Linked DNA regions of Pelodiscus sinensis. The protein of the gene in region 3 interacts with the protein of the main gene of each other region in a biochemical or structural test. Links are inferred from orthologs where the notes say so. Each region holds a gene or a part of one and is shown on either strand. Other genes may lie near its edges. The genes, in order: ARHGEF7, ATP2B4, ERBIN and MAPK12.

Region 1 (7,720 bases), on a different chromosome or scaffold from region 3:
TCTTGTGGCTGGACTGTGCTTTGGGCCAAGAGCTGAAATCACTAGGTTTGGCCCAGAGTCAAATCCACCACAAGCCAGTGGAAGATGCCATGAGCAGCAGCAACACGATGAGCAGCCAGCAGGGCGGCCATGGAGAGGCATAATGAGCAGCCAGCAGAGCAGCGGCAGCAAGGGGCGAAGAATGGCCAGCAGAGCAGTGCCAGACAGCAGCGAGCAGGTGGATGGTGAGTGACCAGTGGAGTAAGATGCCTCTTTACCTCCACCCCTCTCAGGATAGGAGGTGAACTCTGAGGATGCACCTCTGAACTCCGGGTCTGCCCTGACCAAGGGCAGCAACTGTGAATGGGGTGCAGAAAAGGGCTGGGTATGTGGAGGGGACATTTACATTGCTGGGCCTAAGAACCTGAGAGGAAAAGGACATTGTCCAATCTACTTGGGGTGGGACTGTTACTCATGGTTTTGATTATGAACCCTGTTTGTGGTGTTTTCACAAATTAATACCACATTACTTCCCTTTCCTCTATTAAAGGTTATATTAAAGGTTTCTTTTCTGCACTCAGACTCTGTGCTTGCAATGGGGAAGCACTGCCTCTCAAAAGTACCCAAGGGTGTTGTTTGAATTTCCCATCTTACGGGTTGGGGGCTTTAGCCAGTTCTGTGTTAGATGGATGGAGAGGAACCCCCACATATTGAACCTAGCCCTGGATGCTAGTGGCACTACCTGGAAAAAGGGTTACATGTATATAAGTGTACATGGTACATAAAAGTTATTTCACATCTTATGTTTGTATTTTTCACATAACACAAAATAAAACTGTAATGCCATGTCAGTTTAAAAAAAAGTAGACTGTTCTGAATGATAGGTGAACAATAAAAGGCCTGAGTAATAGAAAAGCAAACAGTCTACATGAAAACTATTTCTAGTGTTTAAAAACATTCCTCTACTGTTTACTGAGACCCAGTCACATTGCATCCTATGCTGTTGGAAACATTTTTAATATTCCAGTAGTTATATGGACTGGTTTTGGAATGTCCTAAAGTAAGACAGATATAAATACATCTAATTCTGTATACATTTCTCTTTCACATACAGCTAGGATTTTAATATTGAGAGACATTTTCTCCCCTATAAAAGAATCTCACAAAAATTGAAAAAAACTCCTCTCCCCAAAAACCTATATACACAGGTCACCATTTGAGCACACTACACTGCTTGTTGTCTGGCCCACTCTCCCTGCTTATCATCACCTTTGTTTAGGCCCCAATCCTGCACTGGGGTGGATCAACAATGACTGCACAGAACCTCTCCATTCAGTGTACCCACAGAAACCAAATCATGGCTTTTGAATGTAAATTCCTTGGGGCAAGGACTCTGTCTTTACAAGCACTTGGGGCACTTCATAACCAATAAAGGTGAGGGGTGTGAGGGTGTACACACCCCACTGTCACCCTTATTGGTTATGAAGTGCCCTCGGTTCTTGTAAAGACTCATTGTAATACACTTAATAATTTCCTAAATAAGATTTCGTCACGTGGTTCCTGCAGGAAGACATCTGATTGGGAAATTGTTTTCATCTGGCCATTTTTAATAGACCAGTACAGAATCTAACACATCACAGTCGTATTCAATCAGCTGAATTCCTGTTCACCGGGCAGTCTCCCCCTTTCCTCCCGCGCAGGAGGGGGGGCAGCTCTGCCTTAGCCCGGCTCCCTGCCCTTTTAAGTGACCTCCTGAGTCCAGCCCTGCGGGAAAGTCTATGCCCGCCTGCGCCCCTTCCTCCGTCCCCCGGCAATGGCGCCTTTGCGGTGCTGCCCGCTGGAGGAAGCTGCCGCGCGGCTGGCGACCGCTGGCCCAGGGGAAAGGCCGCCCCGCTCCCTTTGCCGCTGCCCCGGGAGAGGCCCCGGGAGCGGCCGCGGGCCCCGCAGCCCGGGTTTGGGGGCAGGCTGTTGCTGTGCGGGGCGCCATGCGGCTGAGAAGCGGGATGTGCCGCGCAGCTTCTGCCACCGCGCGCACCACCCTCAGCTGCCCCGGGCAGGTGGGGGGCGGGCCCGAGGCTCCCCCGGGAGGCTGGAGGGGCTCTGGGGGCTCCGCCCGTGGGGGTGGGGCGCGGGCGGAAGGGGCGGAGATGGGGCTTGGCCTCCCTGACGTGGGGCACCCCCCGCCGCCCGTGCCGCGGTCTGTGCTTCCAGGGGTGGGGTGAGGGGGCCCGGTGCACAAAGGAAAGTGCGCGCATCTCATCCCGGAGCGGCTCGCTGCCCGGCCTGGTCGTGGCTGGGAAGCAGCGCGGGGGGACCCGGGCGGGGACGCGTCTCCCGGGTGCAGCCCCTGTGGCTGCGCGCAGCAAGCGCCGCTCTCCCCGCCGCGGCGCCCCCTTTCCTCCCTACACAGCAGAGGCGCTTAGCGCCAGAGGCTCCTCCTGCACATGGGGCGGTTGCACTGGCGCCTGGCTGCATTTGACACCCTGCAGGGCGGATGCATGACCCGCTGCGGGGCATTATTTGGGTGCGGGAGCCTGGCTGCTAGAGGGCTTGGAGGGGGGGGGGGTGAGCTCGGAGCCAAACACACGCCCAGGCTGCTCCCGCCGCAAGGGGCCCGGGTGGGGCGAAGGGGCCGAGGAACGTGCACTTACTTTATCGATGGTGCCCGGGAGCAGGCGGTCCAGCAGCCTGCACAGCACCACCCCGTCCTTCAGCGACGATTGCAAAAACCCCTCGGGGTCCGAGATGGTCTTTTTGGGCGACTCCAGCACGCCCAAGGTGATCAGCCATGTAACGGTCTGCTCCGCGGAGTTCATGGCTGCTGCCGCCGCGGCCAGGCGTTGCGGCTGGGGGGGGGGGGGGGAGGAAGCAATCGCGCGCCGGAGGAGGCTGGATTTGGACGGTGCCCCCCCAGCGCCCCCACCCCTTTGCTGGGGGTTTCACATGGAAGCAGCAGAGGCCGGGGCCGCCGCCGCCTCCCGCGCCATGGAGCTGCTGCAGATGACGCCTGGCTCTGCGAAAGCCAGCGGGTCCGGTTCCTCTCCCTCTCGTGCGCTTTGGCAGCTTGTCAACTGCCTTTTCATTGCACACACATGAACCTGCAGCGCCTCCCCCTCCTCCGCCCTCAGCGCCGGCTGCCGCCTCCGCATGACATCACTGACAGCCGGCGGGGAAGAAAAGACGCGGGGCCCTTGCCCGGCACACAGACCTGCGGCTCGTGGAGGGCGCAGCTGCTGCGGGCACCGGCCTCCTTTGCAACCCGCGCCGAGCGCTGGCACCTCTGTGGCGATCGCACCCTCCCGCCTCTGCACCCCGGATACAAATGGGAACGTTTGAGCTAGTGCACAAATGAACCCTGCTTAGGTAACAGGAACAATGTGTGTGTGGGGGGGGATGTGTTTGTGTCTGATAGAGTCACACATATTGCATGGGGATGGGTGTTGCCATGCACACATTGGCAAACCGTGCACATATTTATACACATAGCCAGTATCCATGGTGAGATTTAGATGCTGCCTGAGACACTATTTAAATCCTCCCCCATATACATGGTGGCTAACACTGGTAACATTTATATAGGCGTTATTCACCTCGAGGCAACGTGGATATTTGATCTGGCAAATCGTGGCATCCTTCAGGATTTTGTGGCATTAAAAATAAGTGTGTGCCATATTCTCTTTTACTGCCCGGCAAGCCAACAGTGCTGAGTGAACATTTTAATTCCCTATGTAACACGATGGATCCTAAACAGTGCAGAGTGGACTCATAAAATCTGCCAGGAATAGGTCTGCTCTGTATTGTGCTTGACCTTGGTAGCATTAACAAGGATCTAACATTAAACAAACAATTTGTTTTATGTGCCCTCTAGTGTAGGGTTGGTTTATGACACTTCATTGCAATCAATGAACGCACCATATAAAAGAGAACAGATTTATAAATAACGATTTTGTATAATTTGATATTTCCTAGTCAAAGTGTTTTACTGCTATTACATTTGACTTCTGGAGCCATACAGATACCAGAAGGAAAAGAAACCCAGTGCAATACCTTAATAGACTTCCAACAAGAAAACTGCCGTTTTTTGAAGGAGCAGAATTGGCAGGAGCAAGTCAGGTATTGAAACTCTACTACCAAAATAAAAGAGGATTGAGTTGCTTTCTCTACTTTTGATAATGCTGACCCATTCTAAACACCTTTACAGAGATAACTGTTTTCACAAAAATATTCTTGAGTAGATTTTTTTTCTTTGAAATGTACCAAATTGTAGCTACAGAGTTGTAAAAATTACCAGGGCAGAATGCTCCTAAACTTCCCGCAAAACTGCACTCAGCTCCCTATTTCAAATTACACAAATTTAATAGTGTACTGTAAAACAGTTTATATCTACTATATATTTAAGAAAGTTTGTCTTTCTGCAATCTGTCTGTCCATCCGTCTGTTCAACTCCTCCTGAACAGTAAGAGCTAGGACCACCAAATTTGTGATGTAGCTTCCTCTTTTCATAACTTAAACTTAAAGTAAGGTACGAGTTTGGTTCTGCGGGGGCAGAGGGGCTGAATCCCCCCCCCCCATTCATACAGGGATGCATAAAAAGAACTCCTAAACAATAAGAGTTAGGACCACCAAATTTGGTATACAGCTTCCTATTATCATACCTTAAAACAAGGTCAGGGTTTGGGTGTGTGGATGGGGAAGGGTGACGCTCCCCACTGATTCATACAGGGACACACAAAACCATACAGAAAAGAGGCAGAATCACTAGGCAGGTGAAAGGGGATGGCTGGGGGTGCACCCGCCCCCCATCTGGGTCAGCCCCAAGCCTCCCACCCCTCCCAGATGCCTTTAGGGAGGGCAGAGGAAGCTGCAGCTCTTCCTGCCCCAATTTGTACAGAGACATTGCTGGCTGTTCCCATTCGCCAAGGAGCAAGGGGAAAGTGCATATTTTGCTGCATTCCTCACTCTGGCTGGGGAGTGTAGGGGGCAGACAAACCTAGACCTGTCCCAGCCAGGGGACATGTGACCTTCCCTTAGCTATGCCCACTGGAACTGCAGCAGCCATGGAGAAGCATTTCTCACTTGACTCCAAGCTGCTGTAGTGAGAGAGGATTGGGATTGTCCTCTATCCCTGGGGCAGCCAGCACACTGAACCTCTCATTCCCAGCCCCACACCAGAGCAATGATTTAAATGAAGCAAAACAAAAATTAACTGAGTTAAGGACCCAAGCAACACCAGGTAAATCTTCTAGTAATATATAATTTAGTTTGTATTTTTGCAAGAACAAAGGAACAGCAAAATACACTTGTCTTGGTCAAATTTTTTTTGGTCAAATTGTTTTTGTTTAAACAGGAGAAAAAGTGTATAGTTTCATCAGATCCTCATTGTCCTATCTGCAAGTACTCTCATCTCAGAAATATGGGTTTTATCAAGGCTAAAGGAGGACATTTTAATGAGAATTCCTTCTAGGAACATTGGCAGCATATCCATGGTCCAACTGATCCCATTTGGATATTTTATTCATTTGCTTGCAGTTTATATGAGCAATGAGCCAATTATTAAAACAATGTTCAGTGACTGAAGTGCTGGCTTCCCTGGCTGTGTTCATTTCCAGGCATCATGTCTACAGTCTGCCATATGGTTCACTGATTTTCTTTCTGTGACTTTCCACAATTATAATTTATGGTAGTTGTTGCTAAGCCAGTGTAAAGTGCTTACAAATATTTTGCAAATGAACTTGTGCAAAGTGGTTTATAATGTATTTGTTGCTTTGTCCCATTTATGTCAGTTAGGTTGTGCTACGCAAATTGCCTATCTTATTTCAATTGTATTTTGAAATTATTTCTAATTATTTCTATACAGCGCCAAATTTCAAAACAATGCACTATTTTGACACATTCCTTAACCCTCGTGGAACAAAGTTTACAGGGATACTGAAATAGCATGCCTATTATTTTGAAAAATATTTCAAAATAACGGGTGCATTTAAATGATGCAGAATAGCTATTTCAGGTATCCCAAAATGGCCCAGCTGTCTAAACGTACCCTTAAACTACTTCTGTGACTGAAATTATCCATGTGCTTAAAGCCTTGTCTAGACAAGACCCTATTAAGGCACTTAAGGTCAAAATTTTTGAAAGTATTGAAGTGGCCACACAAGGTGCAAAGTTATGTTCAAAGTTTGGTAGCTAACTTATTTTAAAAAACAATCTGTTTTCCTAGCCTAGAAAAGGTCCATGTGATTGCAGGATTGGCTGCATCATTAGTGGCCCAACACACTTTGCTATATGTTGCTGCTAAACTCATTTTATATGCACACAGGAAACATAGCAATTGCGGAAGGTCTGTCTAGTCCAGTATCCTGTTTCTAACAGTAGCTAGCAGCAGCAGCTTCAGAGGGAAGTGCAGGCAAATATTGTATAGTCTGCCCTCTGCGTTACATCTCCTCATAATCCTTTATAGTTAGAGATTGTCTTAAACTGACAAACATGCGATTTAATAAACAACGAATAGTCTTGCAGCACCATAGAGAATAACTAAAATGCAGATGGTATCATTAGCTTTCATGGGCACAATCCACTTAATAACTTTTCCAAAATGTATGCTAGCATTCAATTTTATATCACTTTTGCTTTTCTACTTATTCCTTCAACAGACCATTTAAGAGCAACTAAATAATATATATCTGTACAAAAAAGCAATAGAAGAATATTGGAATATTTGATATTGTTCAGAAAATAGTATAGATGGCCAAACTAACTGGAAAACCTGTGAGCATAGTTTCCAACAACATATAAAACAGAAAGGCTATGTCTACACTCGAGGCTTCTTGCGCGATTAATATGCAAATGAGGCTAAGCGTGGAATATCGCCGAGCCTCATTTGCATACCTAATGAGCCACCATTTTTTTCAGAAGAGCCTCTTGCGCAAGGAGGAGCGTCTACACTGCCCCTTCTTGCGCAAGAAAAACTCTCTTGCGCAATGCTGTTCTTCCTGAAAAGTAATAGGTGTAACGGCATTGCTCAAGAGGGTTTTTCTTGCACATGCTCTGCGGCTTTGCTCTGCTTTGCTCCCCGTCCCCCTGGTCTGCAGATCCTCATATGGTCTTCATTTCAGCTTCTGATCTCCTTCTATGCCCATCTCCATCTTGCCCTCCAGCTTCTTCCTGTTTTTCCCTCCCTCTTTCCACTCACCTTTTATGTTTTTCATTTTAGCTAATCTTCCAGTCATCCAATCCCTCCTATCATTGCCCTATAATGTAGTTAATACAAATAAAAATAAAGACTAAAATAAACAAAAAGCCACCCAAAGATTGTTTAAAATGTTAAAATATTCTATTAGTTCTATGACACTGACAAACCATCACTCATTTATTTCATTTGCACATTCTCATCTATTCTTTCCCCTGTGTCTGTCTTGTACAGGCAGTCCCCGAGTTACGCGGATCCGACTTATGTCGGATCCGCAGTTACAAATGGGGCCCTCCCTCTCCCTGGTCTCCAGCAGACCAGGGAGAGGAAGCAAAGCGGCGGAACACGCGGGCAGCGGACAGCCCAGACGCGTCTGGGCTGTCAGCTGCCCACGTGCTCCGTGGCTTTGCTCTGCTTTGCTCCCCGTCCCCCTGGTCTGCAGACCAGGGGGATGGGGAGCAAAGCCACAGAGCCCGAGGGCAGCAGGACAGCCACAGCGCGTCTGGGCTGTCCCGCTGCCCCCGTGCTCCGCGGCTTTGCTCCGGACGCCTGCGG
Region 2 (7,145 bases), on a different chromosome or scaffold from region 3:
GAGAAGCATAGTAACAGATGGGAGTCTCCCCGGCTGGAGCTTTTCTTCTTTCCCACCTGCCAGGAGGCTGGCAGGGAGTCAAAAAGGATTGCCTGGGTGCTGCAGGCCACCTGATGCCCTATCCACCCACCCCGCTGCACCAAGGATCAGAAGGTTCCAGTCCTGCAGTCTGACCCCAGCCAGCCTGCAGGCCCCAGGAGCATGCTGCTGAAAGGGTGGGACCTTCACTGTTGCATGGCATAGAGATGTGCCCCCTGCAGCCAAATCTGCCCTCTTCCCCCCGCCCAGGATAGTTTAGCTCTGCTGCCAGCACAAGCCCAATGCCTCCTCTCAGTCACAACTGCAGCCCCCCCCCAGAATGGAACCCTGTCCATGCTCCCCACTGGGGGTCAAGGAGGCACCCCTCCCCTCTGCAGAGCTGGCAAGATCCTGGCACCTGTTGGAAACCAGGCAGGGCCTGTTTGGGGGTCTAAGCTGTCCGCTGTGTCCCTTGTCTTTGGGCCCCACCGAGCTTCGTCCTAGCTCTGTTCTCAACAGCACAATTCCCCCTCACCTTTGCGGGGGGCTGGCAGAGTAGCCTTGCCCTCCACCCATTCCTCCCGGCGGCGCCCCCACCTGACCATCATTGCACCTTCACGACCCTCCAAACCCATGTTGGAGAGTCAGAGGGGAGGCAACCTGCTCCCCGCTCCAGACCTGTCGGTTCCCTGAAAGCAGCCCCCCCCCCCATCCCACCTGCTGCACACAGCCGGCCAGGCAGCTACACGGAGAATCCTGTGCAAGCAGGGAGGGTGGCACCTCCCTGATGAATGAACCCTGCAGAGGTGGATCCAGCTGACGCCCTCCCCAGCACCAGGAGCGTGCTGGGAGCACATGTTGCCAGCACTGCATCCCAGCCAGACCACGGCGCCCTCCGCTCCCCAGGCAAATCCCCCTCTAGACTAGACACCAGTGGGTCACTTAGGGGAGCACAATGTGCTGACCCCACCCTCTGCATGCCAATGAGCTAGCATTGTGCCCAGTCCCAATCCTCTATGGGCCTGGCAGCCCTACTGGCAGGGGGGAGGGGGCGACAAGCAGAAGGCACAGGGAAGAGACCCCCGCGCACACACACCCCTTTTCAAGTGACGCCAGGCTCTCCGGCAGGGCTGAGACAGACCCGCTATTGTGTGCCCAGTCCGTAAGGCAGGTTACTGTGTTACAGTCCAGGCTGCTGGACACACAGGGCATTTGTATTACCACCCTGCCCAGGCTGGGAGCGCACCAGCCACCGCCGCGGTGCGCACACACAGCCGGAGACAGCCCCTGCCCCAGGGAACTTACAGTCGGATCCAGCCAGACAGGCCCCCACATGCAGGTGAGCGTCAGTCCTCGCGGGCTAGGCGCTGCCACAGCGGCAGGATTGTTAGCCACACGCCTGCCACCCAGATCTCCTTGGAGAAATCTTTCCCCCCATGGATGGATCTCTTCCCTGCGGAATCAAGCCCCCCTCACTTCCCTGCACTTCCAGCGAGAGGGTCCTAATCCAAGATAAATGGGGGGAGGGGGATGCAGTAGAAGGAAACCCGAGGGCCAACAAGACAAGAAAATCCTGCTGCATCAGAGAGGCAGAGCTGAGTCCAGGGAAGGGGGGAGCCCAAAGGGAGAACTGGGGAAAGACAGCAAGCCTAGGAGAGAAGGGGGGGGACTGATCTGGGTGGAGGGGCAAATAAAGGGGAAAATCCCCCAGATCCTCGAGGGGCCTGATTCCCGGGCTTGCAGCGCGTTGTGGTTCCATTAGACAAACTGGTTCACAGCCCCCCCGGCCAATAACCCCACTGCCACCTCCCAGCCTCATTCCACACACAAAACCTTCCGCTCTCCTTCCCCCCCCCCCTCCCGGGTCTCCTGGAAGCCCCTCCCCAGAGCAGGGGGCATTTCTCCCTGGGTCCCAGCCCTCTCCACTTAAGGGAACTCCCTGCATTTTCCACGGCTAATTATAGCTAGCCCACTCCGCAGGACGCCCGGGGGCTGCTGTTGCAGGCATGGCCGGGCGAGTCACCGGCTTGGATTTCCGTGGAGAAAGGAAACCCCCCTCCCCCCTCCCTCCCGGCTTTTCGTGTTGCAAGGCGCGATCCGGGAGCAGACACACACGCCACCTCCCTGCCCACCCCCGGGCGATCGCTGGCTCTCTCCCCGCTCTGGCTCTCTCCCCGCTTGCACCACGGAGCGAGCGCGAAGCAGACACGGAAAATGTATTTGCAACAGTTTTCCAGTCTGCGCCTGATCCTCAGCCAGGGGGAGCCCGCCAGCGGCCCCCCCCCCCTTCAAAATAAAGGCGCCCCCTTCCCGGACCCTGCGGGGAAGAGCAAAGCTCAGGCCCGGGCGAAGGGGAAGGCTCCAAGCACAAGCAGGAAAAACCACTCACCCTGCTCCTGGCTCGGAGAGGCGACGCCGGCGGATTCCTCCAGCCCGATTTTTACAACCCACCCAGCTGGTCCGAGTTTGGCAGCGGCGGGCTGGCGAAGTAGCGGCGCCAAGCGCAGGCTGGGGGGGCCGCAGCCATGCGCTGCTCAAACACACACACAAATCTCAATTCATAGGCTGCGGCTGCTCTCGCTGCTTTCCCTCCGCCTCCAGTAATCCAGTCTTCCCCGGGCTGGGAAACTCCCCTGGATTGCCATGGGAGGGAAGGGGTTAAAAAAAATCCCAAACTCCTGGATTCGCCGCCCCCCCCCCTCGCCTTCTTCCGCCCACCCCCTCTGGCTTGGTGTTGCTCTTCCCAAAGTTTGGAGGGGAGCAGTTTGGAGAGCGCCCCAATGTCCTTTAGCGCTGAAGGTCTTTCGGGAAAGCAACGCCGATCCCCGCTGCAAGGCAGCTAATCAGCAGACCGAGGGGTAGGGGCCGGCTTGGGCTCGGCTCCCCCCGCCCCTCCTTCGCTCCGTTTTCAAATCGCAGCCCTTCGCGAATGGAGCGAGACCGACACGAGCGGCGCTAGCTGAAGAAAATGCTTGTCATGGCAACGCCACTGCCTAGCCCAGCCAGCCTCGCCCCATCCCAGAGAGGAGGAGGAAGTCTCTTAAGGTGGCTTGCACAGGCAGGCCAGCCCCGCTGCTGCTAGGCGCTTTGCTGGGCTGGTTTTTAAGGGGGAAGAGGCAAAAGGCAGATCTGCCTTCTCCCCGCGTTTCCACCCCACTCTTCCCTAGATCCCTACCTGCTTCTGCCTCTGAAGCCAGCTGGAGAGATCAAACAGTGCTGAGGGGGTGGTTGTGGGGTTTATTATGGGTGGGTGTTGCAGAAAGCTCTTAATCTTTAAAGAGGGGACATTGGACATTTATTTCCTGCCCTCTCTAGCCAGGCCTCCTAACTTTACAAGCTCAGAGGAAACAGGAGGGGGAAAAAGTGCATTTTACAGCAAAATGTTAAAATATTTTTACCCCCCCCCCCCCCCCCCCATTAGCAAGTATCCCCTTAGGATCCATGGGGTAAGGACCAGGACTAGCAGTTCACCCAGCTGAATGAGTTATCCACAGTGTTCCCTCTAATATTTTCCAGCCGTGGGCAAAATAAACTTTGGTATGTGCACCCACACGTGCAGATGCACACCACCCATAGAAAAAGGTGCTGCTGGCTGCATGTGGCAGTGGGTGCTCTGCTAATCAGCCAGGCAGCCACTCAAGTCCTCAGCTTACAGGGAACATGGTTATCAGCAGTGGGCCTGCAGTAGAAAAATGTGAAGCAAGTTCAGAATCTGGGTGTCCAATCCTGCAAGGAGACTAGTGCAGCTTCCGGTGTAGAGACCATTGCAAGATTGGGGCATCACTTTCATTACTGATGAGTTGGGCTTATCAGCTTGGCCAGTGAAAAGAAAGCTAGTTAGTTTCAGTTTTTTCTTGTTAGTTTCATTTGCACTTTCATGCCCAAGCCAAAAGTTTGCTATGCTAACAGTACTAGACAACAATTGAAAATGTATACACCAAATCCTCCCCTGCTTTCTTGTAAACCAAGAGCTAACTCACGGAAACAATTCTGTTGATCTTAGGCCTGGTCTGTACAAAATACTGCAATTTGCTACAATGCCTTACTGGAGGATAGCTAGTGTAACATGTTTTTAAAAAGGGTTCCAGATACTGACATTACCTAGTACTGATGTTAGACTTGACAGCCTGTAAACTGGTTGAAACTATAGTCCAGAACAGAATTATCAGACAGACGAGCACAGTATGTTGGGAGAAGAGTCAACAAGGCTTTCATAAAGGGAGATCACACTGCCCCCAGCCCTTAGCATTCTTTGCGGGTGCCAGGAAGCATGTGCACAAGGGTGATCCAGTAGGAATAGTGCACTTTAACTTTCAGAAAGCCTTTAACAAGATCCCACACCACTAGCACCTGCTTAGTTTGCTTAGTCTTGGATAAGAGGCAAGCTCCTCTCATAGATAAGTAACTGAATAAGAGATAAGAAACAAGGGGTAGGAATAAATAGCCAGTTTTCCACAACGGAGAAAAGTAAATAGCAGGTTCCCCAAGAATCTTTACTTGGACGAATGCTATTCCTCATATTCATAAAGGACTTGGAAAAAGGGGGCCAACTTTGAAACAACCATTTCCCTGGCACTGGAAAAGGTTCAGAAAAAGGCAACAAAAACGATTAAGGGTATGGAATGGCTGGCATATGAGGAATGATTAATAAGACTGAGACTTTTAGCTTGGAAGAGAGACAACTAAGTGGGGGGATATGATCAAGATCTATAAAATCATGCCTGATATGGAAAAAATGAATAGAGTTATTTACTCCTTCCCATATCACAAGACATAGGCATCACCAAATGAAATGAATAGATAGACTTTTTTCTTTAAAAAAAAGGAAGTACTTCTTTGTGCAATGTACAGTCAACCTGTGGAACTCCTTGCCCGATGATGTTGTGAGATCCAAGATTATAACAGGGTTAAAAGAGAGCTAGATAAATTCATGCAGGTTAGGTCCATCAATGGCTATTAGCCAGGATGGGTAGGAATGATGTCCCTAGTCTCTGTTTGTCAGAAGCTGGGAATGGGCAACAGGGGATGGATCACTTAATGATTCCCTGTTCTGTTCATTTCCTCAGGAACCTGTTATTGGCCACTGTAGCAGACAGGACACTGGGCTAGATGGATCTTTGGTCTGACTGAGTATGGCCATTCTTATGGTATAAGATTATTCAAAACTTCAAAGGGCTCTCACACACATTGGTGACCGGTTCAGTTGAACACTGATCAATGCAAAGTAGTGTGTGTTTGGAAACATAAATTCCAGCTACACAAAGTGCCAATTCAAAATTAGCAGTTACCACTCAGGAGACGTTAGAGCTCCTGGAGAGCTCTCAGAAAACAGCCATTAAATGTGCAGCAGCAGCCACAAAAAACTAAGACCATTAGGAGCCAATAACCAAGGGACAGGTGAGACGACAATATAATAATGCCGCTAAGTGAAGCCCATAGCATGCCCAGGTCCTGACTACTGTATGTATGCAATTCTGGGTGTCTATATCAGAAAGATACTTTTGAATTGGAAAGGGTACCGAGAACAAATTAGGAACATAGAACAGCTTCCATGTTGACAGACATTAAAAAGACTCAGACTGGCAGGGGACCTCACTCACTACACTGGCACCTTCTTGCTCACTGTCTTGGCTGTTAGCACCACAGGTCAGTGCACCCTCTTCTTCCGGATGCCTTGCCCACCATCCTGACTGCTTCCCAGACCCACAGCACCCTCTTATGCACTGTGCTTCTCCTTTCCAGGGAGGGTTAGCACCTCAGTGCTCCTATCACTTCCCCAGGTGGGTAGGGGGGAGAAGAACTAGACCACCCCTGGGGGTCCTGGACCAAGAACCCTGGAGCTAGCAGCCTCCACTTGCCTCTCAACAGTGCAGCTTCAATGTCCTGAGACACTTTCCCACAGTCCCAGCACCTTCTTCATCCCCATTCTTAGGCCTTAAGTCTGAAAGTCCAGCCAGCACTCCCAGTCCCCCCCACAGCTGCTCTACCCTCCTGCAGTCCTCTAGGAACCCAGCCCTCTTCCTTGGGATCCTAGCACCACCTGCAGCTCTTTATATATGGGCCTGCTGGGCCCTGATTGGCTACTCCCCACACAGCCACTTTAGGCTGCTTTTAACCCTTTCTCTGCCAGCGTGGGGCACTTGCTCCATCAGCAACCGTTCAGCTTAGAAAATGGATAGCTAAAAGGGGGATATAATTGAGGTCTGTGATATCAGGAAAGGTGTGGAGAAAGTGAATAAGGAAGTGCTCCTTCATATAACACAGTGTTTCTCTACCTTTTTTTATAAAGTATTCCTTTTTCAAAAAAAATTTTTTGTAAGTACCCCCAGTACCTACAGTTTTCAGATACATAATTTTTTTTCTACTATTGCAACACATTTGTTTAAACAACTTAATCGTAGCTGGGCGGGTAATTACATTGGTAGGTGTAAAAAGTACAAAAATAAAAATGCGCTGTAAAACTTAAAACAAAAATTCAGTTTTCTCCAAATTTCACTTGTGTTGACGTACCCTCCAGACTTCTGTCAATTACCCCCTAAGGGTACTAGTACCATTGGTTGAAAAACACTGATATAACACAAGAACCAGGTGTTAGTCACCCAGGGAAATTAAGAGGCAGCACAGTTCAGACAAACATAAGGAAGTATTCCTGTGCTAAACCTGTAGAACTCGTTGGCAGGGGATTTTTGAGAGGCCCAAAAGCAAAACTGGGTTCAAACAGGATTTGGATTAAGCACCTGGAGGGTAGATTCCTCCATGTCTGTTACTGCAGCTGAGCAGAGATGAACCTCCATTCTCTGGCTATTCCCACAGCTCCAACAGACAAATGCTGGGTTTGGATGACAGGGGATGGATCACTCAATAATTGACATATGCTGTTCATTTCCTCTGAAGCACTAGCCACTGAAAACAGGATACTGATCTAGATGGACCATTGTTCTGATCCAGTATGGCCATTCTTATGTCCTTATCTAGTTAAACTGGTGTAACTTTTGTGTGTGGACACTCTTAGTCTGGTTTAAACATGGTTTGGTTTAGCCTGTTCCTCTAAACTGACGTAAATTCAGGCAGTGCAGCCTCTATGTGTTTTTGTTTTAATAACACTTTGTTTTATAGGACACAAGTCC
Region 3 (7,936 bases):
CAGTAAGGAGAGGGGGAAATGCCAGCAGTCAAGTAGTCGACTCCACTACCCAATACGTGTAGACTTATGAGGTAGTCAACTACTTGACTAGTCACTTACATTCCTACACCAAAAATGACAATTTAAAGATTTTATTACTTAAGTAATTTTTTATTCTGAAAACACTGCTGGTTGCAAGAAAGAATAAATTCTCTGATGAATACTAAACTATGTTAATGAAATGAACACCATTTTATGGCATAACCACCAGCTATAAGTAGCAGTGAACTGCACTCTCATCATTTAAGGGCCTTATTTTAGCTGCCATAATGACAAAACCAGTTCAAAAAGTTGGTGCCCCAAATACAAGGATCTCTTCTCCTACATGGTACTGAAAAATATCTAGCACATCATCAGAAAAACAAAAAGTCCGAAAAGAAATAAAATTGCATCCATTAGGAATACATTAGTTGACAACTAAATTTGTCATGCTTTACTACATTTTCCCCCACCTTCAGAACCGTGTCATTGTTAGGAATGAAGCAGTGCTTTGGAAAATGATCATTCTCTATAAAAGGATTACTCTATTTAGACTTCATTGCTTCACTGCCAAGTATAAGCCATAGAAGGAAGATGAAGTTCAAATGTCATCTATTTTGTTTAGTTCTTTCAGATGCCCAAGAATAACCTCTTCTGTTGCCTGTGAAGATAAGTCTATAAATCATAACCCAGATCAGTTGTGCATTATCATTTGAAAAAGCTATTTTGTATTGACACAAATCTGTCACTTTTCCACTAAAGAATACTATTACTAAATGAGTCTGTGCTAGATGAATAATCATTTCATCACTACACAAAACTGCCTGATGTTATTTATCAGATCTGGGTCATTTTTAAATGTTTTACTTTCTTAAAATGGGCAAATACATATATAACAAGTATAAAAAGTTCATATAAAAGTGAATATATTTGGTTCTCAGGCACACACGCTTCTCAGACAAGCCAGTTCCATATTCCTAAACCAGGCTGATCACACAACATATCCAGTCAGTACAACTGAAAACACTCTGCCATCCACTTCGTTATTCAAGAATAATAATTTAGACTGTCTTCTATCAAGGACAACATAAACTAGTCCCAAGCTATGGCCTTTAATGCATTCTTTTGAAATCTATACAATACATGAATGATTTTTTTTAGACCTCTCTCAGCACATATAGTTTTGGAACTCCAGTGTAATCAATATCTGGCATTGGCTCTCTGAAGCATCTTAAACCAAGTTGTTATAGGACATCTAGATACTTTGTATAATATGTTTTGTGTTAAATAAAATTAGTCAAGATAAAGTAATATGTAGTAGCCACACTTTTGCAATAGCCTTAACAAGATGATTGTAGTATCACATTGCATTGAGCCTGTGTGTATTCCTATCTCAAACAAATTTTGATTAGAAGTCCCATATAAAGCAATGAAAATTAAATTTGTCAGTTTTTACCCAAATTATACCATATTAATTTTGAGAAGCAGTTCTTATAGTAACTCATATTAAAGTATAGTATCTTCCATTCTTTCGACTACATCAGATTTTACCAGGATAAACTTCTACAGGTTCTAAGTGTAGGTATATGTCTTGCATATGAAAATCATTCAATTTCTGCTATAAGGAAAGGCAATGCAAGAAGTGTTGGCTATCCTGCCCCAGGTATTAAGATAAAATTAAACAAACTAACTCTTCTCCAGTGATGAAATAGATAGCCAAACTCTTCATCTTGAAGAACAGAAGACAAACAACACAACCTTATTTGTAAAGTGAACAAATGATTACAAAGAAAGAAAGATCAGTCGTTCTTTTTAAAGGATGCACATATTAGATGGCGACAGTAAAGGAACCAACACCCTTGAAAGTAAAGGGGGGAAAGCAAATATCTCCTAACTTCTGGATTTCTTTCAAGTAAAATAATTAAGAGCAGTACCCTTTGGAAGTGTTTATTTGTAGAGAAAGGAACTAAGCTGCCGGGCTAACTATTTCAGAAGAGAACCATAACCAGGCAGTTTCACTTCAATACCTCATCCTGCTGAACAAAGAAACTTCTGTTTGAGGAGCTTAAAAACTTTCGATCTCACCAGATTCTTCTTGCAACCTCCATAGAAATAACGATCCCACACACACAAATAACATTGGAAGAGACAAAAGGAGACTCGGGCTTTTTTCAGGCAGACAACACAGCCCAGCAGAAAACTAAAGGCCAAAAACAGGATATCGGAATGAAGCGCCAGCTCCTTCCTTTCCCCTCCCCTCGGCGCAAGGTTTCTTACCCAAACCTCCTCTGCACCCACTTACCTTCGATCGCTGCTGTCTCGATCAGCTTCACCCTACCCCAGCAGGGCCCCTCTCCGTCCCAAGGGGAATTTTAAATCCAACCAAGTTTTCTTCACGGGGGCCGAGCGGATGCAGCCGCTGTTGGTCGGGAAGCAGGGCTGGGGCAGGGAGGACGCAGCACCGGCTTCTCGGCACCCCCGGTCCCGGTTTCAGCGGCCAACCGATCCCGGCCGAGTCACATTCCCCGGCCGCGGCGCTGAAGTTGGAGAATCACTTCCTGCCCTGGGCACGGGCACAGACGGCGAGTCTGCAGCGCCCGCTTCGCCACCGCCCCCTGCCGCCCGAGCCAGGCTGCCTCCTCCCCACACTAGGCCAGCTCCGCGCGCCGAGCCCGCCCCGCCTGCAGTCCCGTCCTATAGAGACTGCCGCATGCAGCCCGGCCCCGCCCGCCCCGCGCCGCTAACCGCCGCCAGGGGCGCGAGGCGAGGAACAGGCAGCGCCCTCCGGCCGGGCGGTGGCTGGGGAACCGGTAGTAGCCGGGCCACGTCGTGCCCGCAGCGGGGCAAGGGGCGCTCACGATACACAAGGCAGGCGGCAGCACCGCCGCACAGCCAAGGGGAGACACTGCAGCGCCGCCGGGAGGGAGGGGAAGGGCGGGCGCGCCTCTGTCTGTCTCTCTCACACACACACTCCCTCCGGCTGGCCGCTAGAGGAAGGCGAGACCCCGCCTGCCTCACTCCTGAGTCAGACCACAAGCCCGGGGCTGAGTGCGAGCAGCGGCGGAGCACAGCCAATCCGGAGCCAGGGCCTCGCGAGGGGCGGCCAGCCCCAGCCAATCACGGCGCTCTACGAGCAATGCCTCAGCAAGTTGCGTTGCATGAAACCGGGAAGCGATGTGCTGAGGGGGGGAGGGGCGGCTGTGCGCTGGGTTGGTGCGGGGGTGGGGGAGCGAGGAACACGCGGGGGTAGGGGCAGGGAAAGGGCGCGGGGCAGTGACAGGAGCGGAACGAAACGAAAAGGTAGAGGGGGAGGGGCAGAGGACGGGGCTGGCGGGGGTGAAGTGGAGGGGGAGGCGGGCGATGAAGGCTCGCCAGAGGTCAGCGTAACGTTCCCTTCGCTGTTTGTCTCTCACGCCCACAGCGCTCGCTGCTGCGTGTGTGGAAAAGCGGCAGCTCGCAGTCGTTGATGCCCTTTTTCTTCCTCATTAAGCAATCGCCGCGTGGTTTCGCTGCCTGTTTTTAGTGTAAAGGTGTCGCTGTTTCTTCTGCTTGTTGGCAGCCAGTGGAATGCAGGGCGCGGTGGCTCGCTTGTTCGTTTAGAGACCGTATCAGTTAAGACAGAGTCAACCTTGAGTCTGGAATGAGAGTTGTTTTCTTAGGGGTAATCCGCTCAGCATCATAATATAGTAATTGCACATATTACAGTCAGTCTTGTGCCAGGCTTTTGTTCTCTTGCACATAACAACCTTGTTAGTTATCACTCCAATGTGCCATTTATCTCGAGTATTTTTATTGGGGAGTAAGGGCACAGTGCCACATGGTGAGTTTCCAAAAAAAAAGTATTAAATTAAATTACTTAAATGCTAATAATAGTGTCATGCTATATTTGAGATCGTGGATACTAAACTAGGAAATTCAAAGTTGTATTTCTTATTGAAACATTCCCCCTTTCTACATAAGCAGCGTTTCACTAAATATGCTATTAATTTAAATGTTTCATAACATGCAACGGTATGTGAAATGTAGCTAGCAGATTTGTTGTGTGACACTTGATTTATTCATCTGTTCATGTTAAATCTCAACAATATGTGGTGGTAGCTGTTTTTGCTTTTTGTATCCTTAGTTTTTTTAGTGAATCTGTTACTTATGCACCATGCCAGATTGACAAATCTGGAGTCTAAAGTTCTGAGCCACAGGACAGACAGCACTGGTAACTGCAGGATGGACTTCCACATGCTGATCACCTTCTGTTCTGTAATCATGTTCTGAGGGGGCCACTTCTAAGGATGTAGTTTTCACACTCATTTAATCTTTGGCTACTTTAATGGGACTGTGAACAAATGTGCCAGTATGAATGGTGATGCTGTATATTTAATCCAGGCCCATTAAGAATTGAACTAAACCCAAACTTTTTATTAATGCTACTGAACACTCATTATACAGTAATGATTTGTAGTCACAACCTGAGCCACATCTACATGACTAGAGACCTACATCAGTATAACTATGTTGCTCAAAATCCACACCCCTTGGCAATGTAATTATACAACTTAGTTCCTGTGTAGACAGCACCATGTTGATGGGAGAGCTTCTGTGAACATGGCTACTGCTCTCCTGGAAGTGGTTTAACTACACCAACAGAAAACTACTTCCATCAGCATAATAGCATCTCCACTAAAGCACTACAGCTGTGCCCCTGTAGCATGGGTGGCCAGTAACAAAGGCAAGGGAAGGTATTACCGTCCCAAAACTGCCTACATTGCCCAGCTGCCCTAGAGTGGCAGCCCAGTGGCCAGGGATGACTGGAGCCACAGTACCAGGAGACTAGCTCCCTGCCAGCCAGAGAGAGCTGGGGCTGTAGCACAGGGAGCCCTGTTCCTCCTGGTAGCCAGGAAAGATATGGTTTGAGAGCTGGAGTTGGCCGGGGTTTGTTTAGGGGGAAGAATTGTTTAGGACAGTGGTCCCCAACCTTTAGAGGCTCCCGGGCGCTCGGGAGGTGGGGGCCACTCATGCGCCGGGGGCGGAGCCGTGCGTCCGGGGGCACGCAAGAGGACTGGGATGCTCTTGCACCCGGCGTTTGCCCTAGGGCCGGGGCCGCCAGAGCGCCGTGGGCCCGGGGCCGGCGCTGCCGCCCGAGCAACGCACCTGGGGCCGGCACCGGCGCCGCTCGAGCACCGAGTGCCCGCAATGTGCCCCGGGACTGGAGCCGCCCGAGCGCCGCGCACGCAGCGCCAGTGTGTGTCGCGCGCTTGGGGCCGGCGCCTCCTGTGCGCCGGGAGCGGGGCCAGCCCAGGTTGTCAGCGGGCGCACACGAATGCCCCAGCAGGCGCCATGGCGCCCGCGGGCACCGCGTTGGGGACCACTGGTTTAGGAGGTATTGTCGCAGGGGAAGGGGTATGGCTTTTGTTGGGAGGGGCGGGGCTTGGGCTTGTCTTCCCTTCCACCGCTGGGCCTTCACCCAGTACCCATGCCCTGTAGCACTATACATCAAGACAAGCCCCTTGAAGTAAAAAGTTTATCATTGCCATTCTCCTGAGATTGATCATTAGATCCATTATCAGTCCAGTTCAGGAATGTTACAGTTACCATTCAGTTCAATGAAGGGGTTTGAGTGCTAATAGTTTAGCTGAGATTAAGTGAATATGCTCATATTTAAATAAATGCACTTAAATTTGATTGTACCTTCAAATGTTTATTTGAATATTTTCATATGTAAATAGGAATTACATATTTTGCTATTTAATGTTCAATTATTCAAATATAGCAACATCTGGACTTAAGGCAATATGCATTAGGTTGCACTCATTTTGTTCCTACATTTTTCTCAAATAATCCCGTCCTCTGTTTAATAAATATCTGATAACAACTATGCCAAATTTTACACTTATAAATAAAGGCATTGTAAACAAATTAGGAAGAGGTCTCTTCCCTCCCTCCCCCAACAATGAAACCTCTATCATTTTCTCATGTTCATACAAGTATCATGGATCATTTGATGATTGTGTTCTGTTCATTCTCTCTGGGGCACCTAGCACTGGCCATTGGTGAAAGACAGGATACGGGAGTGGATGGAATTTTGATTTCACCCAGTATAGCTGTTTTTAGGTTCTTACTTCTTTTTCTTCAGAACAACTCACCTTTTGTCTAAAACTAAGTATGACACATTTCATGCGCCAAAGTTAAAAATAAGTCTACAGCGGCAAGTTACTGTGCAGTAAATCAGTCCCCAGCATTGTAACTTTCTCAGTATCCACACTGGCAAATCATAATGTACACTAGTTTGCTGTAGGTAAACCAATTTTGCAAACAGCATAGAGATTGCTGTGCTCTGGATAATGCGTTTGGGCACTAGTGCGGTGAAGTACTGTGTTATGATTAGTCTCCAGCACTCTTCTCATGCTGCCTGTTCTTGCCTCTTTGGACATCGCTTTGAACTCTACTGCCTTGCTCTCTGGTGACCAACCCCCAGACCCATCCTTTGCATTCTTTTTGAGATTTGAGTCCCCTTTCTGTTTGCTCAGTGACATATGGTGTGTTCTCAGGGCATCTCTCCAGCTAGCCATGCACCAGGAGTTCCCCAACTTGGAACCATTCAAAGATGCTGTTTAGTGTTCCCTCTAAGATTGTCCAACCGTGAACGGAGTGAATTTTGGCTTGTGCATCAATATTGAGGTCGTGTGCTCGATCGGATGTGTGCCACTATGGCACCCAAGTTATTAACACACACACACACACACCCAGCTGTCAGAGCAGAAATCTCCTTCTCCCCATGCCATGTACCATGTCCTGTTCCCCTCCACCAGAGCAGACCCTGTCCCCCCAGCCTTGTGGTAGGTCCCTTTCCCAGCCACTGAAACAGACACCACCACCCCGCCCACCTCCTCCCCACCATGCAGCAGGTCCCGTGCCTGGCCCCAGCTGCCAGAACAGGCCCCGGCTCCCCATGCCATGTGGCAGCCCAGCCACTGAAGCAGGCCTTCCTTCCCTTCCCCTTCCCCCCCCTTCCCCTGCCATGCAGCCATGGCAGGTCCCAACCCCAGCAGCTCCCTTACCATGCTGGCTCAGCTGGCCCCACCCGCTGGAGCAGCCAGCTGCCATGGGCATGCTGCCACACAACTCTCCAGAGGAGATGGGCAGGGGGGAGATTTTTTTGTATGCGGCTGCGCAGATGCGCACCTTAGCAGGAACTATGGTACTGTACTACATCAGCATTTGGGGAGAGGAGGCAGTCCAGTTCCAGCTGTGCTCCAGCCGTAGGAACTATAATACCTACAGGCACATTTCTTGATGCATAACTGAAAGAGGCTACAACCAGGATGCACTGCAGTGGAGAATCAAAGGGAAGAAGCTGCAAAATGCCACACTACAATGCATGGGAAGCAAACTACCACTCTGGTTCTGTGCCCATGACCTACAGATACTACAAAGAGCTGGATGATATACTTGGAGATGACCCTGCCTCCATTCTGAAAACCCTCATGGACACCTCGAGGTCTCAGGGACCATATGACAGTGGACTGAAAGAGGAGGAGGAAGTTGTGGCCAACTATGCTGAGGGGAAGAGGGACCCAGAACCAGAGGAGGACTTGACCTCCATAGAGACTTTCAGTCAGGAGCTGTTTTGGATCATCACCTTATCGTGATGGAGAGGCCTGCATGTTCCAATAACTCCCACGAATGATGTTGCCTGGAGTCATGTACTCCCTTAGGGTCACCCATGGTAGAACATTCAAAGGCAAGGTTCAAGACAAAGTGTGATCCAAGTAGTCCTCAATGGCAGAGCAGACAGAGGATAAATGTACAATGGAGTTGAAAGTGTTGTGTAGTGTAATGTTACAGCAGCTGTGAAGGTGGATGAAAGCTGCAGCAGGTAGAGGATCTCCAATTGTTGTGGTCTGTATGTCATTGGTTTCAAGCC
Region 4 (7,999 bases), on a different chromosome or scaffold from region 3:
TAACATAGTCAAAAATGAATCTGAGATTTCCTCTGAACTCCTTTCCCCTGCTCCCTATTTTCTCCTGCTGTTCACAATATTTCTATCCTTCCTGTCCATCAGGCACATAATTTGGCTGTAATTTTTGACTCCTTCCTTCCCTCCAATCCTCTCTTCATTACTGCAGCCCTATCCTTTTCCACTTCCCTGACACATTACCCTCCTCCAATCCAGAGCAAACACAGGTGTTACAATCACCTTCCACTACTCTGATCACATCCGATCTTCACATTTTCTTTGAATCTCCCTCTAGTTTCCCTTTTCCACTTCCCTTATATCGAAGTGACTAAAATTTTCAAGAAGCAGCTAAATGACATTTTCAAGTGACTAAGATCTTGTTTACACTTGAAATATGACAGTAGTACCAGTGCAGCACTTGAGCTGTGTCACTGTATTGCTTCAGTGTAGACATCATAGCAAGGGGAAGGATTCTCCCATTACTGTAGGTAATCCACCTCCCCAAAAGGCACCTCCCCAAAGAATTCTTCCGTCGACCTAATGCTGTCTATACTGGGGGATTAGGTCATCTTAACTGCCTTGCTGAGCTTCCCTGACCATACCTGGGGCATCTGTCAAGGAGGGACAGGCCTTGCCCATAAGGTATTTCTTGGGCAAGCTTTGTCCTTGTGCTCTGTCAAGGTTGGGTGCAGTCTCACTGCACAGTCCATGACCTGTGGCAGTGGAGCTGCACAGTGATCTCCCATCTCTGTGCAGCCAGTAGCCAGAGTTCCCCACTGTCATGCTGGGGCCTCCACATTTATTTGAGAAATAAAATTTGCAGAATTTTGCAGAATTTTAAAAAATTGTGTGCAGAATTTTTATTTTTTGGTGCAGAATGCCCTCAGTAAAACAATTCTGCCTCTCCCTATTTAATCACTCATCTTTTATCACTTTCCTTCATCCCTGATAGTCCAGCCTTGATTGCTGCTCCTCACAAACCATCATTTTATTCTCTTCCAGATCACCATGGAGTTAATCCTCAAAGCTACTCACACATTCCGCCTCTCCAACAAGTATTCCATCACAGGAGACAGGCATATGCACTGTGCAAGTTACAATGTATATAGGTGTACATGCATTGTGTTTATAGATTTGTTTGTACATTACAATAGTGCCCAGAATGTGGTAGGCTTTGTAAAGACAGATAGAAAAAAAACTATCCCTCACAGTTTAAAATCTACAGGATAGCCATAGACAAATGCATGCAAACAGTATAGGTTAAAGTCACTTTTTGACGGCTGCTCTCTAATGGCACATACATGCACTCTCATCATCACTATTTTTTATGCTAAATACATGGCTAAAAATCTTTGTTAGAGCTAAATTACTGATGCTGCGGTGCCAGGGCATGTCTACCTTGGCAGATTATGGGAATACTGGAAGTATGGGGGACAGTAGATCAGGCACCATGCATGGTGAAATGTATGCATTTTGCTGTGCAAGCTGCAGTCTTGAGAGTATATGCTAACAACTAAACTTACATTTTCATGCTTCATGTGTTTCAGGAGGCGTAGTTCCCGATAGGCTCGTTTGGCAAAGAGTTCAGATTGAAATGGACGGTACAATTTCTTGATGGCCACTTTGATGCCACTTCTTCCATCAATAGCTGAGCTTTAAGAAAACAAGTATAGAGTTTGTGAGTGAGGATTGGAGTGATGCTGGAAGTCCTGACACGCAAGGTACATTGAACAATAAGTTAGAGGACTCCAGGTGTGGGGCTCTGCTCCGCCTTGCCATTGATTTGCTATGTTACAGAGGCAAAGTCACATAACCTATCTGTGCCTTTGTTTATCTTACTGTAAAGTGGGAATAATAACTCCCTAAGCTATAGCTTCAGAACTGGTTGGACACCATGAAAATAGACCATTCTTCCTAGGCAATTCTGATGAGCCACAGTAGAGGTCTATAAAGCAATGTCTGAACAGAGGTCAATCAGCTCTCATACTGTAATAAAGAATGGAACATTCTGATGAAGTCAAAATGCAAAAAAGATAATAGGGAAATGCAGTTTTACTGGATTATGTAACTGTGGAACTCACTGCTACAGGACACCGCGGACTGCAAGACTTTAGGGTAGCTAGGAAAGTGCTTGCCTATATCCATGAATGGGACCATGCAAAGTTACACAGAAAGGCTAGAAACTCTCATGCCTCAGGTGATGAACTCAATGCCCTGCCCCCTGGCACTAAGGAAGAGCTTTTCCGGGCAGGATCGCAGAACTGTCCGCTTTGGGCTTTCCTTCCAACTTGCCCTTCGTTGCAATGTGAGCGCGGAGGTACCGGGCGTACGCCTTTCCCTCGCACCGGAGCCGGCCGGGCCGATGTCGGAACTGGCTGCAGTGACTCCGGCACCGCGGGGAGCGGTTCCGGGCCCCGCTGGGGGCGGAGCAGCCACAAAGTTGGAAGGAATTAAAGGGAAAGTGGCCACGCTTCCCCCGCGAGCCAGGGACCCCCCGAGCCGCCTCCCCGAGCCCTTTCTGCAGCGCCAGGGCGGGGCGCCAGGCAGAGAGCAGCCCTCTGCTAGCCCGGGCGCGCAGCGCAGGCAGCTCCCGCCCAGCCCTGTCCTGGCCGGGGCGCCCTGGGCAAGGCGCTGGGAGGGACCCCCTGCTCCCCTGCCTCACTCACCACACAGCGCCGTAGGCTCCGGAGCCCACCGGCTGCAGGTCCCGGTAGCGCTCCCGCACCTCCCACAAGGTTTTCGTGATTTCCTGCCGGTAAAAGCCTTTCTTGGCGGAGGACATGGTGACTCGGCCCCCTGTCGGCGCCTTCCAACAAAGAGCCCCGAGGCGGAGAGAGGGGCTGCGGCGGCGGGGCTGGTGCGAGGGGCTGGGCTTGGAAGCGCTCCCGGGGTGTGTGTGTACGTGTGGGACCCTCTCTTAGCGGGGATTGAATGTGGCTCCGGCTTTCTCTTTCCCCGCCTCTCCTCTCCCCTCCCCACCTCCACGCCTGCCCTCTCGGAGGAGGAGGAGGAGGAGGTCCTGTGGGAGTCACACTGAATTCCCCCCTCCCCCTCCGCATCTGGGGCTGCCTGCTTTGTCACAGACACATAACTTTCCTGCCTGCGGTTGCTGCCTGATGGCGAGGCTGGGAGGGTCTCAGCCCCTGGGCTAGGGAGGATCTGCTCGCTCTTCTCAAACCAACTCGAGATCACGTGGTGAGATGTCGCCCCGCACCCCGAAAGGCCCCCCATTTCTAGCCTGTTTCAAGGAAGCCTGTTGTATTCGAAAGCAGCTTTCTAGCTAGGTGTGATCTCTGAGTTCTCTGAAAAAGGGAGGGTCTAGCTGAATGGCACACGCTCTTATTTACAGAGAGTGTGTTGGGACATGCAAGCAACAAGACAAAAGAAAGCAAGGTTTGCACGCTGCATTACAGACAAGACCCCGGTGAAGAGGGGTTACTTATATGAGGCCCCAGAGCCAATGCTGCAAACTGGTACCTACCCACTAATCCAGTTAGTTGCCTATATGGAGCCTAGATGTTTGTCCCAGTGAACAGTTTGATAAACATTACACTGACACAAGTAATCAAAAGCAGCATGGTTTTGCAGTAAAATTTGGTATATATTTTAGTTCCATGGCTTTTGTAAATGTTTTTTGTCTCAAAAAAATAAAATACACTTAAAAGGCAACGTCTTGTATGCACATGAAAGAACCCAAGGGTGGCTACTTCCATCTCTTTTTATCTTTGTCAGAGCTACTATGGTCGATTAAGGGGATGAAGGAACATTTGATCAGTGGAGAGTTATTGTTAATTTATTCCAGTGGCATCTAAAGTCTCCCACCAACTGGACTGGGGCCCAGTTGTGCTAAGCACTGTGTGGACACAGAATGAGGGTACATCTACACTGTGGAGTTTTTCTGGAAAAATGGGAGTTTTTCTGGAAACACTACACTTACATCCATGCTGCTATTGCATTCTTTCGACAGAAAGTCAAAGGAATGGAGGGTTTTTTCTGTCAGCGGTATACTTTTTTCTACAAGAAGCCTTTTTTCGAAGAAGCTTTTTCCAAAAAAGGTGTGTGTGGTCACGGAAGAATGTTTTTTTGAAAGAAGAGGCCTGCAGGAAAAAGCACAGGTGCCCTGGTGGCCACTCCATCCACAGTAATCACAACTGAAATGCGAGATAGCGTTCAATTAAAGTGGATGCTATCTTTCGAAAAAGCAGATAACTTTTTCATTGCACTTTTGCTCAGTAGACACTCTTTTGAAAAAAGTTTTTCTGGAAGATCTCTTCTGGAAAAGCTTCTTCAGAAAGAAGCTTGCAGTCTGGACATAGCCTGAGAAACATATCCTGCACCAAAGTGAATAACTGAAAAAGTTTGTGTAGATAAACAGATTTAAACAAAAATTGGTGGATCATACAGTGAAAAGGTGTAACTGTCATTAACATTTTTTTCTATTTTTGCTGTCACATAACATGCCATTCTCTACTTCTCCCCAAACCTCTGGCCCAATTGTCAGAGTAAAACTCGTTCACAGTTTCCCATTTCCCTATTATCCTGTCTATATCCCTCCTTCACATCAGCAGACCAGGGAGATGCGGAGCAAAGCCACGGAGGACGCGGGCGGTGGGACAGCAGCGCGTCTGGGCGGTCCCGCCACCCACGTCCTCTGCAGCAAGAAAAGCCGCTCCGTGTCTCCCTGGTCTGCTGGGGGTCCCCCCCCCCCAGCAGACCAGGGAGACGCGGAGCAAAGCCGCAGAGGACGCGGGCGGCGGGACCACGGAGCATCTTGGCGGTCCCGCCACCAACGTCTCCCTGGTCTGCTGGAGGGGGCGCAGCTAGTGCACCCCTCCCCCCCAGCAGACCAGGCTTTTCTCGCCGCTGGTCAGTTTCAACAGCGGCTGAATCTGGACGCCTGGGACAGAGCAGCTGGGGCGCTGCCGGGTTGGTCCCACAGCGCCGAGGTGCGGCACTACTGGACCAACCCAGTAGCACTCCAGCTGCTCTGCCCCAGCCGTGTCCAATTCAGCCGCTGCTGGTCAGTTTCAACAGCGGCTGAATCTGGACACCTGGGACAGAGCAGCTGGGGTGCTGCCAGGTTGGTCCCCGCAGCGCCGCACCTCGGCGCTGCGGGGACCAACCTGGCAGTACCCCAGCTGCTCTACCCCAGGTGTCCCCAAGTCAGCTGCTGCTGAAACTGATCAGCGGCTGATTCCAGGAAGCCCGGGGCAGAGCAGCTCTGCCTCGGGCTTCCTGTAGTCAGCCGCTGGTCAGTTTCAGCAGCAGCTGAATCGGGGACACCTGGGGTACAATATGTACCAGTTCCGACTTACGTACAAATTCAACTTAAGAACAAACATACAGTCCCAATCTTGTACGTAACCCGGGGACTGCCTATATTGTTGCATCAAGTAAGTGCTTACAGTCAAGCTGGTTCTGCAGTATAACTACATACTACACAGTGAAAGTGAACAACTTTGGTACATATCACTTAATATGTAAGTGGAGCCTTATACCTTAGTTCCTCCAGTGCCACAGACACATCAAGCTGTTTAATTCCTCTGCTGTATTTCTTCTGAGGTAATGCCAACGTATGCTACATCCTCTGTCTCTGTCTTGCAAGTGCTTCCTTGATTTTTCTCATGTTCTATTTCTTCACTCAGGTAACCAATTCAGTGCTTGCTTAGCATGTCTCTTCTTATGTTCTTAAGTTATGTTCTCCCATTTTACCACATCATGTGTCTTCTTTCTTTGCTGATATGTTCTAGCATGTCCTGCTCTGTAAGCTCTCTCTCATTTGTTATTTTGTCTGCTCATGAAATGTGTAGTGTCTTCCTTAGCCATTTGTGTTGGGCAGCTTTCAGTTTCAGTTTCTTTTAGCAACTCTCATTGGCAAAGTCTCTGCTCTCCACAGTAGCATGCTCAGTATAATTGTATGATATAATCTGATCCTTAGTTTGGAGTAGAGATCTCTATCAGAATGGTTATGGGTCATATTTCCAAAAGTGGTGTTTCTTTTCCTAATCTTGTAATATCATCTTCATCACAGCCTCCTTTAAATGTCATCACACATTCCTCACATAGCTGAACTCTTTCAACTTTTCAATTTCTTTTCCATCAGTGTACATCTTTGAATCTGTTGTTCAGTTTCCTACCTTCATAATCTTGGTTTTCTATGCATTTACTTTCAATCCAATTTTTTTATGCTTCCTGTTCTACCGCTGATGTAAGGGTAATCCTTCAGTTCCCCATCATGCTTAATAAAGCAATGTCATCAGCAAAGTTAAGATAATGTAATTCATCTCTGCTAACCCATTTTACAGAATCCATGATACCTTTTGTTGCTTGCTTCATCACCCAATCTATTACTAATGCAAAGAGGTTTGGTGATAAAACATACCCTTGTTAGACACCACTCACAATATTGAAACATGTAGGCCTGTATCTCCTCTTAATTTAGGTCTCCTTCCAGCATATAATGTTGATAAGCTTGTTGGTATCACATAATTTCTAGCAATATTCCCCAGGGTTCTCTGTGGACTCTATTAAATGCTTTCTTTAAACTAGAGAGAGTTAATTAAAATGGAGTATTAGTTGCCAACCAGTAGCTTTTTCAATGATCTGTTAAAGAGTGAGTATCAATTCACAGCAGGAACTATCTGGATGGAATCCAGACTTGTAATATTTCATTCACTGCCACCTTCATCCTATTCAGCATAAAGGTAGCCAATTATTTCCTGGGATTGTTAGCCGTACAATTCCTCTTCAGCTTGTGCACTGAATAAGATCAGACTTTTTGGCAGTGCCACAGTGGTACCATATTTCCAGTTTTGTTGCACCTGTTACCTTAACTTGTCTATATTTCATTACAGAGTTTTATTAGCTGTTCAGTCAGAATTTTCCCTCCAGACTTTATTAGTGCTGATTGAATTCTGTCAACCCCAGAATCTCTCCCGTTTAAGAACTTTGGTGACTGCAATGCTGTTATTTCATTAGATGTTATTTGTCCCCCTTCTATTTCTAGCTTACCCATGGAATTTCTCACCAAGCTTTGTGATCATTGACTTTGGTCACGTTAGTATAGAATGATTGCCTTGTTCTTTATGCATTTTCAACAGGTTCATGAGAATCCCTGCTGGGCACCACCTGTGACAGTCTGGTTCTTCCTGATATGTATTTGACTATTCTATGGAGCTGCTTGAAATCTCCCTTGTGCTCTTTCTTCTGCCTCTGCAGCCTTCTCCTGAACCCAGGTTCTTCTATTTTGCCTGCATTTCTTCTTTATTCTCTTGTGTTGGAAAAGACTGATGTCTATCATTGATTAGGGTATTTGTGCTACAGACATTTAAGAGCCATTTGCCATTATTAGTTAGTTAGTTAATATACATTCCATCACTGCCTATGATTCCTTCCCAGCCAGTAGAGTTACTGCCAACTGTGCACTGAAGTTGCCTATCATCAGCTTGATATCATGATTAGGCACATCATCCGATACTTGCTGCACCTGCTCCCAGAATGCATTATTTTCACTGCCAACTGCTGAGTTGTCAGTGCATATACTTGGATTATTATACACTTGACATGCTTTGTTTGCTGCTCTTACTAGTCTGTCTTCCCCAAGCCACAGGTTCTTCATTGTGAGGTTACCCAGGGTAATTCCTATATCACATTTGTATGTTCCTCTTCCTAAGACCATAGCACGATCAGGCTCTATCTTGCCACTCCCTGCCTATCTTGTGTCATTGATGCCAGGTATATTCAGATGGTATTTTTTCATTTATCTTGTAACTTGTACCAGCGTTCCCATATTATACAAAATAGGTATGTTGCATGGGCTGACTCTTGTTACCAATGTGGCCATCTGGCTTTAATGTCTCCAGAACTCACTTTCCTTTCTGCTTTCACCAAAACCTGTCATAATTGAGTGCAGGTGCAGCTCAAAACCCACTGCCCTCAAGTTTTGGTTTGGTTGAATTGTTTCTGTTGCAGTAAAGTTTTTACCTGTATGGGTTGCAAAACT

Evidence for each region.
Region 1: the proteins of ERBIN (region 3) and ARHGEF7 interact in a test that uses a peptide from one of them, tested with the Homo sapiens proteins (2 studies listed by BioGRID and IntAct). The link is inferred for Pelodiscus sinensis from reciprocal best matches to the Homo sapiens genes ERBIN and ARHGEF7.
Region 2: the proteins of ERBIN (region 3) and ATP2B4 interact in a test that uses a peptide from one of them, tested with the Homo sapiens proteins (2 studies listed by BioGRID and IntAct). The link is inferred for Pelodiscus sinensis from reciprocal best matches to the Homo sapiens genes ERBIN and ATP2B4.
Region 4: the proteins of ERBIN (region 3) and MAPK12 interact in a test that uses a peptide from one of them, tested with the Homo sapiens proteins (2 studies listed by BioGRID and IntAct). The link is inferred for Pelodiscus sinensis from reciprocal best matches to the Homo sapiens genes ERBIN and MAPK12.

Annotation. Positions count from the first base shown.
Region 1 is NC_134711.1:239,396,902-239,404,621, forward strand, and holds the start of ARHGEF7 (rho guanine nucleotide exchange factor 7), read right to left. Parts: upstream 3,017-7,720; 5' UTR 2,796-3,016; coding exon 2,631-2,795; intron 1-2,630. UniProt on the Homo sapiens protein: Acts as a RAC1 guanine nucleotide exchange factor (GEF) and can induce membrane ruffling. Functions in cell migration, attachment and cell spreading. Promotes targeting of RAC1 to focal adhesions. May function as a positive regulator of apoptosis.
Region 2 is NC_134737.1:8,689,770-8,696,914, forward strand, and holds the start of ATP2B4 (plasma membrane calcium-transporting ATPase 4), read right to left. Parts: upstream 3,002-7,145; 5' UTR 2,408-3,001; intron 1-2,407. UniProt on the Homo sapiens protein: Calcium/calmodulin-regulated and magnesium-dependent enzyme that catalyzes the hydrolysis of ATP coupled with the transport of calcium out of the cell. By regulating sperm cell calcium homeostasis, may play a role in sperm motility.
Region 3 is NC_134716.1:89,980,216-89,988,151, forward strand, and holds the start of ERBIN (erbin), read right to left. Parts: upstream 3,004-7,936; 5' UTR 2,321-3,003; intron 2,295-2,320; exon of another isoform or gene 2,046-2,294; intron 1-2,045. UniProt on the Homo sapiens protein: Acts as an adapter for the receptor ERBB2, in epithelia. By binding the unphosphorylated 'Tyr-1248' of receptor ERBB2, it may contribute to stabilize this unphosphorylated state.
Region 4 is NC_134711.1:37,391,880-37,399,878, forward strand, and holds the start of MAPK12 (mitogen-activated protein kinase 12), read right to left. Parts: upstream 3,006-7,999; 5' UTR 2,780-3,005; coding exon 2,664-2,779; intron 2,468-2,663; exon of another isoform or gene 2,190-2,467; intron 1,651-2,189; coding exon 1,521-1,650; intron 1-1,520. UniProt on the Homo sapiens protein: Serine/threonine kinase which acts as an essential component of the MAP kinase signal transduction pathway.